Linked DNA regions of Drosophila melanogaster. The protein of the gene in region 4 interacts with the protein of the main gene of each other region in a pairwise test. Each region holds a gene or a part of one and is shown on either strand. Other genes may lie near its edges.

Evidence for each region.
Region 1: the proteins of CG2157 (region 4) and ems interact in a two-hybrid assay, tested with the Drosophila melanogaster proteins (one large-scale study listed by BioGRID).
Region 2: the proteins of CG2157 (region 4) and CG1394 interact in a two-hybrid assay, tested with the Drosophila melanogaster proteins (one large-scale study listed by BioGRID).
Region 3: the proteins of CG2157 (region 4) and fus interact in a two-hybrid assay, tested with the Drosophila melanogaster proteins (one large-scale study listed by BioGRID).

What each region holds. Positions count from the first base shown.
Region 1 is NT_033777.3:13,899,795-13,905,173, forward strand, and holds ems (empty spiracles), read left to right. Parts: upstream 1-2,058; 5' UTR 2,059-2,384; coding exon 2,385-3,519; intron 3,520-3,809; coding exon 3,810-4,159; 3' UTR 4,160-4,826; downstream 4,827-5,379. UniProt on the Drosophila melanogaster protein: Acts as a homeotic selector gene controlling antennal and mandibular segment identity.
Region 2 is NC_004354.4:11,169,178-11,172,572, reverse strand, and holds CG1394 (uncharacterized protein), read left to right. Parts: upstream 1-1,894; 5' UTR 1,895-2,063; coding exon 2,064-2,567; 3' UTR 2,568-2,762; downstream 2,763-3,395.
Region 3 is NT_033778.4:15,673,621-15,678,741, forward strand, and holds the start of fus (fusilli), read right to left. Parts: upstream 3,050-5,121; 5' UTR 2,882-3,049; exon of another isoform or gene 2,821-2,881; intron 2,334-2,820; exon of another isoform or gene 1,897-2,333; intron 1-1,896. Other genes in the region: Gmppa (GDP-mannose pyrophosphorylase A), read right to left, coding at 3,714-3,814, 3,869-4,133, 4,192-4,894, 4,960-5,121.
Region 4 is NC_004354.4:10,867,419-10,871,283, forward strand, and holds CG2157 (uncharacterized protein), read left to right. Parts: upstream 1-1,865; 5' UTR 1,866-1,961; coding exon 1,962-1,973; intron 1,974-2,318; coding exon 2,319-2,691; intron 2,692-2,764; coding exon 2,765-3,123; 3' UTR 3,124-3,285; downstream 3,286-3,865.

The DNA.
Region 1 (5,379 bases), on a different chromosome or scaffold from region 4:
TGAAATTGCATCACGCTGTGCCTCGGTTTCTGTGGAATTGTTTGCAGGCTGAAAATTGTTGATTTTGACACCTTTCGGGCTGCTGCATTGTGTTCCTCTTTATTTCCATCTAATAAATGCATTTGTGCCCTTTGTTGGCTGCATTTTTTACGGTTTTCATTCCTTTTTGCGAACTCTGGCGGGGGGTCATCAACTGCCGAGTCCTCCAGTTGGCCACTTGACTGCCGCTGGTCCTGCGGCCAGAGGATATCTTTATTCGCTCATTAGCAGCACGATTGTGCTGGCTGCAGGTCCTTCGAGTCCTGGAGCTCCTGCGGTGAGGTACTCAGCTCAGTGGGCGTGTGAAATTACCGAAAATACAAGGTAAATTGCGTTTTCTTTCAACTCAATTATGCTTGATTCGTCGAAATGTTGGCCGTCTGATTGCAAGGATTCTTCTAACCACAATTGATTAAATAGATATCAGAGTATTACTTCTAAATATTTATTTAATTTAATATTTTTGATATTTATATTTAATATTTATCATTTCGACCAATACTTTTTTTACTTATAATGAAGCTTTCACAAAATCAAAACTAAAGCTCAGATGCCGAGTTTCAAATCGAATTAGCTACACACACGTTTTGCAGATTAGACCGCAAATGAAACCGACTCAGCTAAAAATCGCTGAACTTTCGACAGCATTTCGCCTTGTAATCAAAATCCATTAGTCAACATAATTACGCTTTAATGGACTCGAAAGTTGTTTATGCCTTGCGTCGATTCGAACCGAAAGCTATGGGTAAATATGCGTGGCTTAATTAGCGGCCATAAAAATTTGATAGATTTTAATCTATCGCACAAGCTGTTGTTGTGCTCTCGCCGATTCCTAGCCCATTAATCTCAGAAATCCGGCGACGAATTTGACGGCTCCGGCTGATAACAGAGTGTGAAAATAGCACTACCGAATATTATTCCATTGTTTTTGAAAAACTCTTGGGGTTTGATAGGAAATGTTATAGTGTTGACCGAGGAAACGAAGTGAGACATTTGGCACGTCCCGACAATTGATGAACCTGCTCTGATTTTGATTTGGAACTGCGATTCGGACACTACATAAATTATGCAAACTTTGTCGTGTGCCAAAAAAAAAATGTAATGCCTGAAAATTAACATTTAAATCGTAGCGAAAAATAAACCCGGTAGCACATTTCATAAAACTGTCCCGATCAAGTTTCGTAGATGATTTATGGAAACAGCAAGTTTGAAGTGCATCCGTGGTGTGGAATTGCTAATGTGGACTGGATTGTCAGCTGTACGAAAACCGGGACGTTTTAAAATAGGGAAAGTTAATATATAATATCATAAATTAAATAAGTATTTTAAATTATAAATTTTACGCCATGTTGTTGAATGGGGTTTACGAACTTTAAAAACACCATTAACAAAATACTTATATTCCTTAATCTTTAGTTTTATGCAGAAATATATAAAGAGCGTCTAACAAATCCTTGCTAAACTATAAATTTGCACAACAAAAATCCCCCTGAGCAAGGGAAATATTTAAAACGCACATCCTCTGTAAGCCTCGAAAACCCTTTTCGAACTTCCTGCAAATTTGGCCAGAGTCCGCAAACAGAGACATTTTGCCCACCTGGCATTAGATTTCCATTTAGCGCTCGTTCCGGCCCAGAAATGCAACCGCAAAAACAAGAACTATGAATGGCAGTTTAAGCCAAATTACACAAAGGCCAAGAGCAACAACAAAGTCGTATAGTGGTGGCTGTTTGAACGGAAGCCATATGCAGAAAATTCGGTAAAGGCAGCGCACCGAACTGGACCCGCCCCTCGAAAAGCAGCCATTTCACTCGCTCCTTCGCAGCTAGGCCATATCTGCAGGGTAGATAAAATCCACAAGGCGCGCGCAAAGAAGACGGCCATACTACACCGAGCACAGTGCCTCCCGCTCTGGCCCGATAAACTGGTTTGGCCTGTACTGGCGAAGAGAGAAGACTCGCCGCAGCTCAGCTCTCTTCGAGTAGCGCACACTTGGTGGTGTTGCCGGGCTTACCGGATTTATTCAGACATCGAACGTCGTCGAGAGCACACGTCTATATTCTCCGTCTTCCGACACAAAAAATAAGAAAAACGAGCGCGTCGATCGCCGTAGAGCACAAGTCTTGACAACCCGAGTGTGTGTGTGATTAATAAAGTAACTAAACGTATATATGAAAGCGTTTCCAATGCGTCGCTTAGTGTGAGAAAATCAACGAAACATAGAGAGTTACAAATAAGGACTTCCCAGAGGATTAGACAAACAGAACAGATTAGATTAAACAGAAAACCGTGCTTAAACCCTCGAAAAAAAAGCCGCCAACATAGCCGAACTAACCGCCGTATTTATGACTAAGATGATTCCGCCGGTTCCCACCGCCGCTGCAGCCGTCATGATGCCCACACCAAAGCAGAAGATCGGTTTCAGCATCGAGTCCATTGTGGGCAATGATGTCAGCACCGCCGGCGGCAATTCGACGCCCGATCTATCCGGTCCCCAGAGTCCGCCGCCCGGCGAGCGCAATGTGCCCGGTTCGCCGCCCCAAACGCCACCAGCCACACTCACCTTGATCCCAGGCTCGCCCCCGCACCATCTGATGGCTCCTCCTGCCCACGGACTGCCCTATCCGCATCCGCATGCTCAGCAGCAGCATTTGCAGGCACCACATCCGCATCCGCATCTATCGCCTGCGCAGCAACATGTGCTCCACCAGCACCTCCTCATGCAGCAGCAACATCCGGGCACACCCAAGAGCCACCAGGACATTCAGGAGCTGCTGCAGAGGCTGCACCACAATGCCGCCATGGCCAGCGGCCTGAGTCCGCTGCAGACACGCCTCTCCCCCGAAACGGAGCAGCCCCAGATGGCCGTCTCCCTCAAGCGGGAACGCTCACCTGCACCACCTGCCATGGAGCAGGCCGAGAATCCCGCCCAGCGCATCCAGCCACCGCACACGCCTCCCAAATCCGTGAGCCCCCAGTCCTCGCAGCCCTCGTCTTCGCCCACTCTGCTGATCAGCAGTCCACATGCCACACCGCCACAGCAGCAACAGCAGCAGCCGCCCCCGAATTATCCAAAGCCCGCCATGATGCATCCCGGAGGAGCTGGACCCATGATGATGCCGGGCATGCCGCCCGCTGGACTCGTTCGCCCCTTTCCCATGGGACCCGGAGGACCACCGATGCCGCAGGGTCAGCCCGGCTTGCCGGACATCAAGGCGCTGCCGCCCTACATCAACGCTCCGCCGGAGCTGCCGCCTCAGCACAATCCGCATCTCATTGCCGCTGCCCAGTTCCAGATGGCCGCCGCCCTGCAAGCGGGTCATGTGCTTGGTCCAGCGGCCGCCGCCGCTGCTGCCGCCGGCCTGCCGCCCCATGCCGCCCAGTTTATGCCCAATCCAGGCATGGCCAGGGATAGCTATCAGCTGTACCCCTGGCTGCTCAGCCGCCATGGAAGGATCTTCCCACACCGATTCCCTGGAAGTAAGTATCTTTTGGAATGATTCTTTATATGCGAAACAAAAAAAGGAGATTTAGGGAAAAAAATAGTTCTTGGAGTCCAAATTGAAGCCAAAAAATGAGAAATTTCTTTAAAGTAATAATTCTAAACCTTCATAAATGTAATAAGAAATGAAAGATGCTAATATGTTTTAAATTAGTTTTGATGAGTCTCTTATAATTGCATTATATTGTCATTGCTAATTTATTGCTGTGAGTTATGATCTTAAATACCGATGACTAACCGAAACCCTTTCTTCTTTGCCTCTTTCAAGGTTTCCTGGTGCCCCCGTTCCGCAAACCGAAACGCATCCGCACCGCCTTCTCGCCGTCGCAGCTGCTGAAGCTGGAGCACGCCTTTGAGAGCAACCAGTACGTAGTGGGGGCAGAGAGAAAGGCCCTGGCCCAAAACCTCAATCTGTCCGAGACGCAGGTGAAGGTGTGGTTCCAGAACCGACGCACCAAGCACAAGCGGATGCAGCAGGAGGATGAGAAGGGCGGCGAGGGAGGATCGCAGCGGAATATGCACAACGGCAGCGGCGACGAGGACGACGACGAACTGATCGACATGGAGATGGACGAGTGTCCCAGCGATGAGGAGCACGAGCTGGACGCCAGCCACTGAGAGAAGCGGCCAGGAGATAGTCCTGCGGCGGTCCGTGAGTTCCTTATCCTGGCGAATGCAGTCCAGTTCCAGTTATCGAGGGTTCCCAGTCGAATCTCGGCGAGAGTAACATAGTTTGTTTTGTTGTGATATATTCTTAGAGCGATCCCAAGGCGTTAGGCTAAGTGTATATAGATAGGAAAGTATTAGAGACCCTTTCTCTCCATCCACACTTCTCTCTCAAGATCCGTGCCAAATCCTTGCGAAGTTTCGAGGTTGAGTAGAGCTCAAAGAATGCAAGTTGTTTCCTTTCTTTCCCAAATATCAAATGCAAAAAAAGAAACACTGAAAAAATAAACCTAGGCTAGACACCACCAACTATAACTGTACAAATTTTATGACTTAAGCCTGTAAATATTCATGACATTACTTTTAATTAGTGAATTCTTCAAAACAAATCGTACTCGATCCACTAGCTATTGTATAATTCTTGTATATTGTATGACGATCTAGCATTTATTTATGTTTAGTCTTAAGCACGAACCTCTAGAGTCCCTCAACTGCAGCTGGATATTATTTAAAGCCGTCTAATATAAAGCCCTAGTTGCTAGTAACTACATCCTAAGCTAATACGATTGTAAGAAACACAAACGAATATGATCATATAAAATATAAAATATTCATTATGAAAAGAAATCGAAAGAGAAATGTTTGATTGATTTATGTGTTGGGGGCAACCACTTATTATCCAGAATACTAGATAATTTATTTATAATTTAAACAATATTGGTATGTTTTGAGTTATGGGTGTGAACTTTAACTTCTCATTCAGCTTTATTACTTTCCTTCAACAATATTTTACTTTAGTTTATTTTTTCTTGTTTAAGCCTTGGCATCTCCGCCCCTTTTTAATTGAGTTCGTCCCACTGTGTGACAGAGTAAAAAATTATGCGCCGTCAATTAATTAGCGTGTGACATTTAACATTGTTGTTGCTGTTTCTGTCCACTGGAAATGGTGACAGGTGCGCTGGAAAAGGGGATTGAGGGGGTGCGGCCGCGACTGAAAAGAGCGGGATAGCTGAAGGAGGCGGCTATAAAATGCATTTAGCGATCGTTATTTCTTATAGATTTCATAAGCATTTTAATTGCACAATTTAAAATGCAAATCGTGTTTTATTGTAGAATTTAATTGAGCGCAGTTCGTGTGAGATCAAAGGGGCGGGGGTGGATGCTGAACGGGG
Region 2 (3,395 bases), 300 kb from region 4:
AGCTGCCCTGGCCCATCAGTCTCCCATCCGGCATAGTTGGCATCACATAATTTGGAATGACCCAAGGTCAGGCGTTGAAATATGAACTCAGTTGATCACTTACAGCGCTTAAGACACGAAAAACCAGAGGAATTCCAGCATAATTTATATTGAGACAAATTTCTTTGCACAAGAAGTGCACAGTGTGTAGTCATAAATAATAGTATCGGTTTAAATAACTTCAATTTTATTGCAATTTAACTACTATATAGTTAAAGTAAGAACCTTGAATATTAAAATGTGCTGGATTTTTCTTTCAGTGCACCAAAGCTATGTGCTGTAATTTTAATTTTCCCACCCAGCATTTCGGTTAATCTTCGCTGTGTTTGTATATTTTTTTCTTTTTTTTGCGCACTTGTGTCGCACTTATGTATCATCATTTGTTTGGCTCTGATTTAATACTAGCAATGACACAATGTTGACGCCGGCCGAGGACAGGCAATTTAACTACGTTGTCGCCACTGCAGCGCGTCAAGGACGTGGGCATGACAGTCGGATGGTCACCCGGCCTTACAGTCATCCAACCATCCAACCATCCAAGCATCCAGCTATCCTGCCATCCGGCCAACGCCTCATCATCGCCCCTCAGTCGTCATTCCGTGTCCCATTAGGCGTGGGCCTTTGTCTTTGCTATCATTATCAACACCCTGCCATGTTGCGTTCTTTTATTTTTCTCTCAGCTTACTGCTTATTCTTCATATTCGCAGGCACAGTTAAAAATAAAATGCGGCCAACGTTGCGTATACGCAATATCAGCATTGAATATTAAGCATACGCAATGTTGAAACATTTAATTCCTTATTGTCAACTAGAACTATAAAGTAATAATTTATACTGTACATTTGTTATATATGTATATATTTTTAGTATGAATTTTCTTTCACTGCATCTGGTTGGTTTATGAGACATTTTGTTGTTGCTTATTTTGCTTTCGCCTTCGTTTTCACTCAGTTCAAGTGTTTTGCATTTTATGCTTGGCACAAGAATCAAGTGGAATGTGAATGGCCAAGAGGGTGAGAACCTTAAAAATACCGTATTTAAATGCCAATCATGTGTGAATCAAAACGTGTTAGATGGGCTATAAGATCAAGTTGAAAGTTAAACACGAAATAGCATATAATTGCTTATATTTGCCAAAATGTTCAATTACTTTAATCGAATTTAATGCAGTTTTATAATTGTTTTATAGTTAGCAAAGTAATTAGATGCACAATGTTTTATTTCTATTTTATGGTACCAAGTCTTTAATACCCATTTAATACCCAGTGTGTAAATAAACGTTTGTTGCCGCGTCTTCGTCATTATCATCTGTGCTGCATCACGACAGTTGGCGTCCTTTTTCAAAAATTAAACACAACGCTGGCCATGCCACGCCCCTCGGTCGCCCACCGCCCCCATTTTCCGACAAGGCTAAACCAAAAAAAAAAAATCATAGAAATAGGAATCAAGACTCAAGAGCAAAAAGATGAAATGAAAATAAAAAGAAATGTCATTTATCACAATATAAAATTGTATGCTAAATAACACGGAATGACCTGAATTAGAAGCACAAAAACCTTTATGAACAATCTTATGTCAGGTTAATAAATCAAATATTTTACGATGATGTACATATATACTATGGTAACTTATAATTTGCTATTCAAAATATTTAGAAAATATATTTACTCTTAGGCATTTTATGGAAGAGCTAAACCTAAAATATGTGCCAAGGTAAAACAATCAATTTAATATCGTATGTATTTTCATGGCCAACTGCAATCGGTCGAAAAAAAATTTCCAAAAATTTCCAATCAACATATCCATGAAATTAAATGTCAAGCCGAAAAATCGAGGTACCCCAGCCGGAGCTCCAGATTATCAGTTATATTTTAGATCCCAAACAGTAAACACCGTTCAGCGGAGCAAAATTTTGTACAACTTTTATTTGGTCAAAAAAAAAAAAATCGAAAGAAAAACTGTTTCTTTTTCACCACTTTCCCAAATTATTTGTATTTAGGATTTACTCAACCGCAACTCACAATATGTCGAATTCGTTTTCGTACTGGAATGGCCAGCCGTTGAATGCTCCCGTTTATCCGCAGATGGGTGACTTCATGCAGCACTCTGCCGCTGGAGCAGCCGCTCCACCACCACTATCAGCAACAGCAGCAGCACCAGGATTAGGATCAGCCGGCGGACTAGGAGGTTGGCCTAGCCAGGGCGCAGCTCAGGCACACTCCATGCTACCATACGCCGGAGGAGCCGGTGGCATGCCGGCTGCCATGCCGGGTGCCATGCCGGGCGTCATGCCGGGTGCCATGTCGGGTGCCATGCCGGGTGCCATGCCGGGTGCCATGTCGTGTGGCATGCCCATTACAGGAGCCCAGCATATAGTGCCGCCACCCGTGGACCGTTCAATATATGGAGACATACCCGGACGAAATGAACCGTGCATCGACAATGGCGAAGCCTTCTGCGCCTACAACGGCATGGACATGAGCATGAACTACGGCGGAGGCAGTGCATCCAAGGGTGGCTTCTGGTAGGATCGATGCCACGAACAATGACAGCACGAGCATCTTCACCGAACGACTAAAGTGAATCGCATATGGGCCATATACATACACAATTAGTTTTCGAACCAAACGTCCGTTTTGTGCAGCTCAAACGACTCGTACTTGGCGAAAATGTATAAAATAAATGTCATAAATCCATAAGATATGAAAATAATCAGTTGGCACAAATCGGTGGGTGGGTTAATTGCATTAATAAATACAGAGATGAGTTAACGTGCGGCAAATTGAATGTGAGAAGAGCGTTGTAAACTCAAATCGCATATATTTTATATGCTAATTACTAAATAGGCAAAATGTGATGTATGGCAAAGGTTACTATTGTTATTTTCACTCGGCAGTCAAATATTGAAGTTTTATTTTTTATACAAATAATTAAAGCACAAATCAAGCTTACATTGTAAATATTTCGATTTTTCTATTTAGTTTAAACAAATCAAATTTAAATAACTAGGTGCAAACCATTTATAAGATTAATAGACCCAATTTTCCACCGTATGATTATCTTGAGCACTTCGTATAAATATATGTTCTTGAGATTCGCATTGTAAAGTACAAAAAACAATACAAGTTTCATCGTTTCTAACTATGCAAATACAACGCCTGCCGCCCCTTTTGTCGTATCACAGGGCGTGGCTGATTGTCACAGTGATGAGATGGCAATTTCTCAACACGCTAACGAGATGCACTTACAAAAAAATGGGTATGCCCATTGGGAAATTATTCTTAAAAAAAGATTCGATGATTTATACTAAAATTACATGAATTTAGCATAATCGTAATGTTACCAAGTCATTATAT
Region 3 (5,121 bases), on a different chromosome or scaffold from region 4:
ATCATCAATACAGGTTCCCACGATTTCGTACTCCCCAAAAGAACTGCCTCGGCTTTCATAACCAAAAAGCCTAAACTGGTTCGCAAGTTTCTTGATTTTGACACTTTTCTCGACCTCCGGGGTTAGTTAAACCGAAAAGCTGCGTTTACTATTGCCTTAAAGTGCCCTATTTCCTGTTCAGAGACCTTAAGCCCTTACAGCCCATTAAAGACTGTTGATTTACGTCAACCTTTCGAGAGTGGTACATACGTACATATATCATGGATTGTGGTCTTATGAGAGGCTTTATGCGCTTTTAATTGATTGCAATGGAAACTATGAAAAGATACGGTTATGCCAGAAGGGCAGACACGCATTGATAAGTTTCCCTTTCGTTGAAATGAAAAAGGTACTATATTCGTTAATGAATGAATAACGGTAAGCGAGTCGCCCAATTAAGTAAAATAAAGAATAACCAAATAGACAATGGGAAAGCGTTGCGGCCATCATTAAAAATAAGAAACGCTAAACCCTGAATATCACAGCACAGTGGGACCTTCCTATCTTGAACTTGTAATTATTGTACGTTATAAAGATTTAAATAGATTTATATCGTATATCACAGAAACCAATAGAAATGTACCGTTTTTGTTAAGTCAGAGGTAATTTTTGGTAGTTTTCAAAACAACCATTTTCCTCAATATTAATGAGAATACGTATGTTAATCGCACAAATATTTGAATATATTGAGAAATGTAGATTATTGAGAGGTTTGCGTGTTGTGAAGATCGATTTTCGATTACTGCACTGTGCGAAAGACAAAACCATCAAGCCGTTATTAAATTTGAATTAGTGACAGGCGCAGCAGGAGCGGAATAAAAAACTAATACCACAACAGCGGCAACAACTATTGCAATTAATGAATTGCTACCTGCCTATTGGTAAACCAGAAAGTGAGCAGATTTTCATTGTTGGCCGATTGTTTGTTGTATTTCGGACTGGCTTATTAAATTATGAATTGCGCAAGTTTCTGTTTTACGATTTTTGTTTTAAGCATTGTTCCCCGCTTGCATATATGTTTTGTTGTTGTCGCTGGCGTGTGCCGTTAGTTGTTGTTGGAGCAACAGGAAATCTATTATTGCGCAAAAATTGCTGGCGAGAAATGCCAATTGCCAAAGTTATTCGCACAACAAAAAAGTGGTAGAAAAGCGCAGAGAAGAAACGAAGGAAAATGTTTTGGGCTCTCGCTCTATCTGGATTTTTATCTCGTTCCCTCTTTTAACTGGATCTCACGCAAGCAACAAGTGCAACTCTGAAATTGCTGCTGTTTTGTGATTCTGCAAATAAGAAAACAGATTCAGCACTAGGCGATCTTCAAATACGCTTTAGCAGGTGCATTTAAAATTCACACCGTTCTGTTTTTTCCTAAGCAGCATGAGTATCAAATTGGGGTAGTATCTTATCTTGTCGGATTTTAATTACTAAGTTTTCCAAAAAAAAAAACTAGACCATTAATGTAGCGGAATAATTGTCGTTCTATTTAAATTTTCCATAATCATATGGAATCATATGACAAACTTGAAGACTTCTCTAGTGCAGGGTATTCATAAACAAGTTGTGTTCTCTTTCTCTCAGCATCTTCGTTTTGGGCTCCGCTAACTGTAAATTTGTTTTCACTTTGTTTTTGTTAATGTCGCTCATTCATTTTGGTATATTTAATAGATAATTTGATTAACGGCAACAACAAGTGGTTCTCAATCGGATATTTTTCCCTCCCTCTCCCTCATCGACACTCTATGGCGCTCTTTATCTCCCTCTCGCTCTTTTGATTTTTGTTGGATGCCACAGGTTGTTGGTAAATGATATCTACAGCTTCCTCTTGCTCGTCTTCCTCTGTTTCTTCGCTTTCTTACTCACTTTTTTCTCCCTCTCTCAGCGACGCGACTTAACTGTTTTTACTGTTTTCTTATTTTATGATTTTTTTTCTGTTCAACACGTTGTATACATTGCACTTGTTGGCTTTTCACAAATTTTGGTTTTTATTGCACTTTCTTTTCTCTCGCACACAAACTCGAAAAGACCATATGTGTTACAGTTACATTTGATAAAACGCCTGCTATTTTTGTTTTGTGGCCTTTTGAATAGTTTACTATTTTAATTTAAAGCCAGCAAACAAGTATTTTCTTCTTCTTTTTGACCTGTTGCTTCCACCACTTTGTCTTGTTGTCTTTTTCTAGTTGTTGAATTGGTATGAGTGTGCGTGCAAACGTTTCGGTGTGTGTGTGTGTCGAATCTGTTTATTAACTTATTTAACCCGTCGCGCATCCGCTTGGCTTCAAGTCTGAAAAACAACTGATCGCCGCAGCGAAACGCAGGTAACCACGAAGGTAAATTAAGGTGAGCTGCGCTTACCTCTCTCTGTGTCGGTAGACAGAGAGCGAGAGAGCAGACCAAACAAGATTCCATCACGCACATACCAGCAAAAACAACAACATGGCCAGGTATGAGTTTGCCAATAGGCCTTGCGGTAGTTGGCAACTCGGCGGAGAGAGTGAGACACAGAGAGCTCAAGGGAGAGAGTTACACAAACTCCGCCAATAAAGCTTGGCTTAAAGCAAAGAGCTAGTCTATAAGTTTCCCACGCTGCGCAAGACAGTTACGCTCAGTGAGCATGACCCGCGCTTTTCCTCTCTCTCTCTGTCTCTTTCTCGTGCTCCCTCTCGCATAGAAGTTACCTGTGCTGCTCCACCAACACATTCGTCCTCCACCACACATACACACGTACACCTGCATACTGTTTGCTCTGCTCTTCTTCTTCCTCCTCCTCTTCTTCGCTTGCTCAATTACCAACGGAGAACGGTGAATGCCCACGTAGAATAGACTGCTTACCTGGTTACCTTACCTTTTGGCCAGAATCATCATTTCCAGCTAGTGGCCATTATTTGGTAAGTATACTAAGTAGTAAATTTCACTGTTTTAGAAGCGGTGGATATGCACAGATCAAAAGCAACAGGCGACGGCGACTAACTGGCTGACAACCGAGCAACGTAAACGCGTTTTGGTCAAAACGAATAAGAGCGGGAGCGAGAGAGAGAGTGGGAAAATCATCGGGAGCGCACAGGTATTGGTGTGCGTGGGCCGCTTTTTTGAGGAGCAACCGTGTCACGACCCCCAACTACTTGCACTTATCGATATCGGAATGTAAACTCCCCTTTTAAAGGTGCAAGATAAATAATTTACTCGAACAATAGTTAGCTTCCTTTAAAAAAAATAAACAATATGAATGCTGGTATTCTTAATTGCCTCGATTTTTTATAACAAATATACCAATAACTACTACATGTTTTTGATCTGAAAGATACGCTAGTGGGAGTGCGAGCGAGAATATACTGTACGAGTAACGGATATACCTAATTCAATTCCTTATAAAAAGCACACAAATGCAGAAAACTGCATCCCTCGACCACATTTATAAGAAAGTAATACCGCCGTAAAAAGTTTAATACGTAAAGGTATTCGAAAAAAAATTGTTTCCCAACTATCACATATCCATCTTTCAATCATAAAAGCACGAGTGCCGAGTAGTTTACCTTACCGGGTCAAAGACGTAGTAAAATTGGCTGCAGAGGATAAGACACATTTAATAGGGAGTTTTTCAGAATATAGCACAATATAAACATATAAAATGACATACTGATAGGGACACAGAGCGAAGATAAAAAATAAAATCATTCTCACAAGATGATCTCGTTTTTGAAGCTGCGACTGAGCTCCTTGTGCGGCAGTACAATGCTGTTCAGCAGGATTTTCTCGGCGGGCACCTGCACGAAACAGCCTGAAATTGAAAATTAGGATTCAAGAATGTCATCACTCAATTCAAAACACCTACCCAGTATGGTTATCGAGGGGTTTAGCTTGCCCTCGTTGTTGAAAAGCGGTGGGTTCTCCATTTTGGCAAAGGGTTTGTTGGGATCGGGATCACTAGGTGTGCCCTCGACTCGAGCCCAAGCTCCAATGGTGGAGCCCCTGCCCACAATAGAGTGCAGCACGAGCGTATGGTCCAGGATCTGTGCCTGCTCCAAAACAATCGATTCGCGAATGCGCACACCTGGTCCAATTGTCACTCCAGGTCCAATCGCCACATTGGGTCCCAGCTGGAACAGGACCTTTTTGTTAGAAGCACTCTAAAAAATAAGTTTGATCTAGACCAACCACTGCGCTGTGATGGACAGTGGCACTGGGATGCACATAGACGTCCGGATGCACTGTGCAGATCAAGCTGCCGTCCCCTTCTCCGCGCTTGATCCCCACATTGGCCAATCTCTCGGGATGCGTTTTCTTGTACAGGCCAAGATAATGACGATTTGCGTAGATTGCCGACCCAGCAGTCTTCAGTTGGGACCACCAGTTAGGCACTGGCATGGCAAAGAGTTTATCGGTTCCAGCCAGGGGCGTAAGCACCTCCTGTTCCCACTTGATGTGCCCCTGCTCTCGTCCATTTCCATTTCCGTTTCCATTGCAAAATGCCTGGCAGCTGTACTCCTGACCTCTCGAATGAAAAATCTGTGCCAACACCGTGAATATATCCATGGAACAGACATACACCCCACAGTTGATAAATGTGGACACATAGGAGCTAGGCTTTTCTACATAATGCGAAACGGCTCCGCTACTCCGATCGAAAACCAGACAGCCGTAGTGCAAGGATTGCTGACGTGTCGCCTCCGTGGACATGATAGTAACCAGAGCACTCGCCGGGCGCTTCTCGTGAAAGTCGCACAGTTCTTGCAGCGGAAAATCAGCGCAAACATCTCCGTTCAATACGAAGAAGGCTCGGGGGTTACCAGCTCTAATCTGATCCCGGAAATGGTACATTCCGCCTGCAGTGCCCAAGGCAGTGAACTCCTGAAGGTACCTATGATAAAGGGTAGGTCAACTTGGAACTTAAGATTCAAGTTCTTCCAAAGCCCCTCTTCCCACCTGATGTTGATGTTGCTGCTGCTGTACAGGGCCTGCATGTCGCCCACGAATCCCTCCATTTGGGTCTGCGGATAATAGCCGATGATCAGGATCTCGCGTATATCGGGCAGCTGGGCGCAGGCCTCAATATGATGGGCGATTAGAGGACGACCGGCCAATGGA
Region 4 (3,865 bases):
CTGAGTGATATACAAAGATAGAAAAACTCTTGAATACAATAATGGATTAGAATGGTCTTAAAATTCTGAGATGAAATATGCAACTTAAATGATATTTGAAAAAATCACTATACTAGTTTTGCTCCACATTTTTTTATGCTTTTAACTGGCTCTATCTCAACTGACAAAGTTCTAAATCTGATTTTTGCACCGTGCTTGCTTTTCCTTGATTACTCATACGCCCCGTGTGCGCGGGTTGGCCAAGAAATGGAGGCTACCACTTACCGCGAGATTCACGGGCTGCCCGTGTAATGGGCTTTTAGGCCTCGGCATTAAAGAACCATTGTCTCAGTGGGGTAAGAGCACAAGAAAAGAAAAAAAAAAACGAGAAACTCCCAGGCCATCGCCAAAGTGCACCCATGGCCAAGTCAACTCATAGCAGTCGGCAGTAGCTTCGGTTGCCTCCCTCCATCCATCCCTCCATCTATCCATCCATCCCTCCAACCATCTATCCATCCATACAGTCAGTCGAATCAGTTAACACTTTTCACATGCCCGCCGGGTCGAACAATGTGAACCCACTCATATGGGCGGTATGACAAGCGTATGTATATACTATGTGGCTATCCACAAGCATGGCATCGACAACTATTTTGACATATTTCGTAAATATCCGTGGATAAGTATCGCAATGCTATTGGCACACGTAACTTCAACTGCACAGATACAAGCTACAGTTTTGCAGTTTTGGAAAATGGCAAACGGATATAGATCGTTATGTTCTTAAATGCTACTTTATTATTCAAACACTTGCTAAAGTTATTATTAAAGTTATTTGAAACATCTGAGTACTTTTTAGTTTCTTGTACTAAACTCTATAGATTAAATGTACTTAAATGTGGAATACCCCTGAATTTATGCTAAAACTATCGCCCAGATTGGTAGAACCTAATTCAGTCCATTCAACCCAATCGAAGTTACGACTCCAATCCGTTAGGTTTTTTAGAAAATGTGTCAGCAATGTTGGTTGGAATGGGGATACTTAGCTTAGGCACTTGGCCAAAAAGCCTCTAAGAAATTAACAATTGCCACCTTTGTTGGCGAAATTCAAGCATTCAGATCCGCCTGGCTCTTCTTCTCTGCGATGTTTTGTTAACAATTTCAGTTGGCTTAAATAAGCGCTGGAAAGTGAAAACCCAATTCGATACTGTTGTTCATGAAATGAGTCACGTACTAGCCGCAATATTTATCTATCTAACTAAATCGTTTCAACTGGACTCGCATGATTGCTGTTACGTTTTTTTTTTAAACTTTGTTTTCAAAGCTGCAATCGTTGGGCATTTTCGCGTTTTATGTTGACCAATTAGCTGTTTCAGGGTCAAGTTAATGATTCAATTAGCATTTGTCATCATTGTTATTGCTTCTCCTGAGCGGCGGCGGTATAATTGATCCCCCAGATCGTGGGAATATTCATAATGATGTGTGATCACACATCAACACGCCCAACCAGCTTTTCATAAGTAGATCATTCGAAAGGTATTGTTTTCTTCAAGAAAAGAGTTAAGATTATAAATATGTATTTAATATACAATATTAGCAATCTAAGTTGATCCAGAGTTGTTCCATAAATGGGTTAAGTAGAGCTCATCTGATTCTGGAAACTATCTAATCCAGGATATAAATTCAATCTAATATGTTTGATGATTAAGCCAAGACCCATCAGCATACACGTTGTCCAGTGGCATGCGTCATACATACATAGGTGGCAAGCAAGGCGACACGAATCTCTGGGATGCAACAGTTGCGTCCAACTTCGCGGCTCGAGTTCGCTGGGATTGGAAGTGGGCTCGGCGGGTATAAAAGCGACTGCCGGCCCGGTGGGGAATCATTAGACAAGTGTCGAACGGCGCGTGCGCATCATAGTCTTGAAGGAGCAGTTAGCCACCAGAAAGCAGTGAACACCACAAACCGGCAGCCACAACATGAAGTGCTTTGTAAGGACTCGCCAAAGGATCTCTCGTGGATTATAATTTCCCAAAAACTAGAAAATGATTTAAAAAACACAGTTCGTTAAAGTGAATAATAAGTTTTGAAAGCATTGTATTCCAAATGCTTGATGTTCATTGTTAAATTATAAAGTGTATTTAAATTTTAGTTTAAAGTTGATACATATTTTTTACATTTTTTTTATTACATTTTTGAATATGTTTTATGTTGCTTTTGAGAATTTGTTAAACAAAATACTATTGTTAAAAAGTACTTTTCACTTTATTGAAATATGTTTTAAGTGGTAATCTTTTGAATATGATACATTTTGGTGACGCTTTATCCTCGCGCAGTTTATCCTGATAGCAACCAGTCTGGTGCTGAGTGCCTATGCCCAGGACGCGGCGGATTCTGACCTGGAGCAGGTGGCATCCGCATCGGCACCGGATGCGGTGGCCGTGGAGGATCAGGTGAGCGCCGCCAGCAGCTATGCCCCGCTGCAGGATAAGAAGCAGGAGAAGCGCTATGTTGGTGGATACGGTGGCTACGGAGCGGGCTACGGCGCGGGATACGGCGGCTATGGCGCCGGATATGGCGCAGGATACGGCGGCTATGCCTCTGGCCTGGGAGCCGGCTATGGAGGAGCGTACGGCAGTGGCGTCGGCGTTGGCGTGGACAGCTACTACAATCCGTACAGCTCGCGAGCTCTGGGTGGATTAGGTGAGGGTGAGCTTGAAAGAAGACTCTCAATCTCTTGCCGAAGACTCGTAGTATACCAACGCTGTTTCTCAATCCCCAGATGGTGCTGCAGTGGCCGGATACGGAGGCTATGGATCCACTCTGGGCGGCTATGGATCCGCTTTGGGTGGCTATGGATCCGCTCTTGGTGGCTATGGATCGGGACTTAGTGGTTATGGTGGCTCCTACAACTCGAATCCATACGCCCTGTCATACTACAACAGCAGGCTGGGCGCTGGAGCCGGCACTGGGTATCCGTACTACAACACCCGATTCGGCGCTGGTGGCTATCCATCCAGTTACTATACGAGCAACTATGGCAACAGCGTGGTGGGCGGCGGCTTGGGCGCTTTGGGCGGAGTGCCGCCCATCGGATCGGGCTATAACTACGGTTCCGGAATCTCGGGAACCGTCTACTAGACACCGCACGGTCCAACGTTCAAGATCTAAGCTAGTGGAATTTATTTTTTTTCATCGATATATTTTTTTCTAACTTTATTTTTATTAAAAGATGCTACAAAAAAATACATTATCATAATCGTCATTTAACTAGAAAGTATATATTTATATATGCATGTAATCTCATTGGGGCGATGGATATGCGCCATGCTTGTCCTTGATCACCCAGAAGGAGTCGACAATGGCGCCGTTCTGGTCATCGGACACCTGCTCGAAGTGAAGATGCGTGCCATTATGTGCCTTCAAGCGGGTGTATCCGTAATCCTAAAGAGATTATAGAATTATAGTATTCCGTTTTGATATTAAGCAGGTCATTCAATTACATTGCTATGGTAGGCATTCCAGATGGGCAAATCGTTGGAGAAGGGCTCGCGCTCCTCCTTGCAGCCGGCGGAACCCGTGATGATCTGGATGGGCGCCTTGGGATTAGTGTATGGCGCCTCGGCACTGCCATTGTACACCTTGTAGTCGTAGATTGGCCACAGGCGAGTGTAGAAGTGTTCATGCGCAAAGATCTCCACGTCGACGCCGTGCTTGTAGAACAGATCCTCCAGGCCGAACCACTTGAGCATGGGCAGACCCTGGCGAATGTACGTCTCCAGTTGGCTATTGCAATCGTACTCCTTGTCGTCGCTGCAGTACATCGGTCGATGACCGTAGGTGATGATCCACGGACGTTTGGCCCGATTCTCGGGCAGATTGG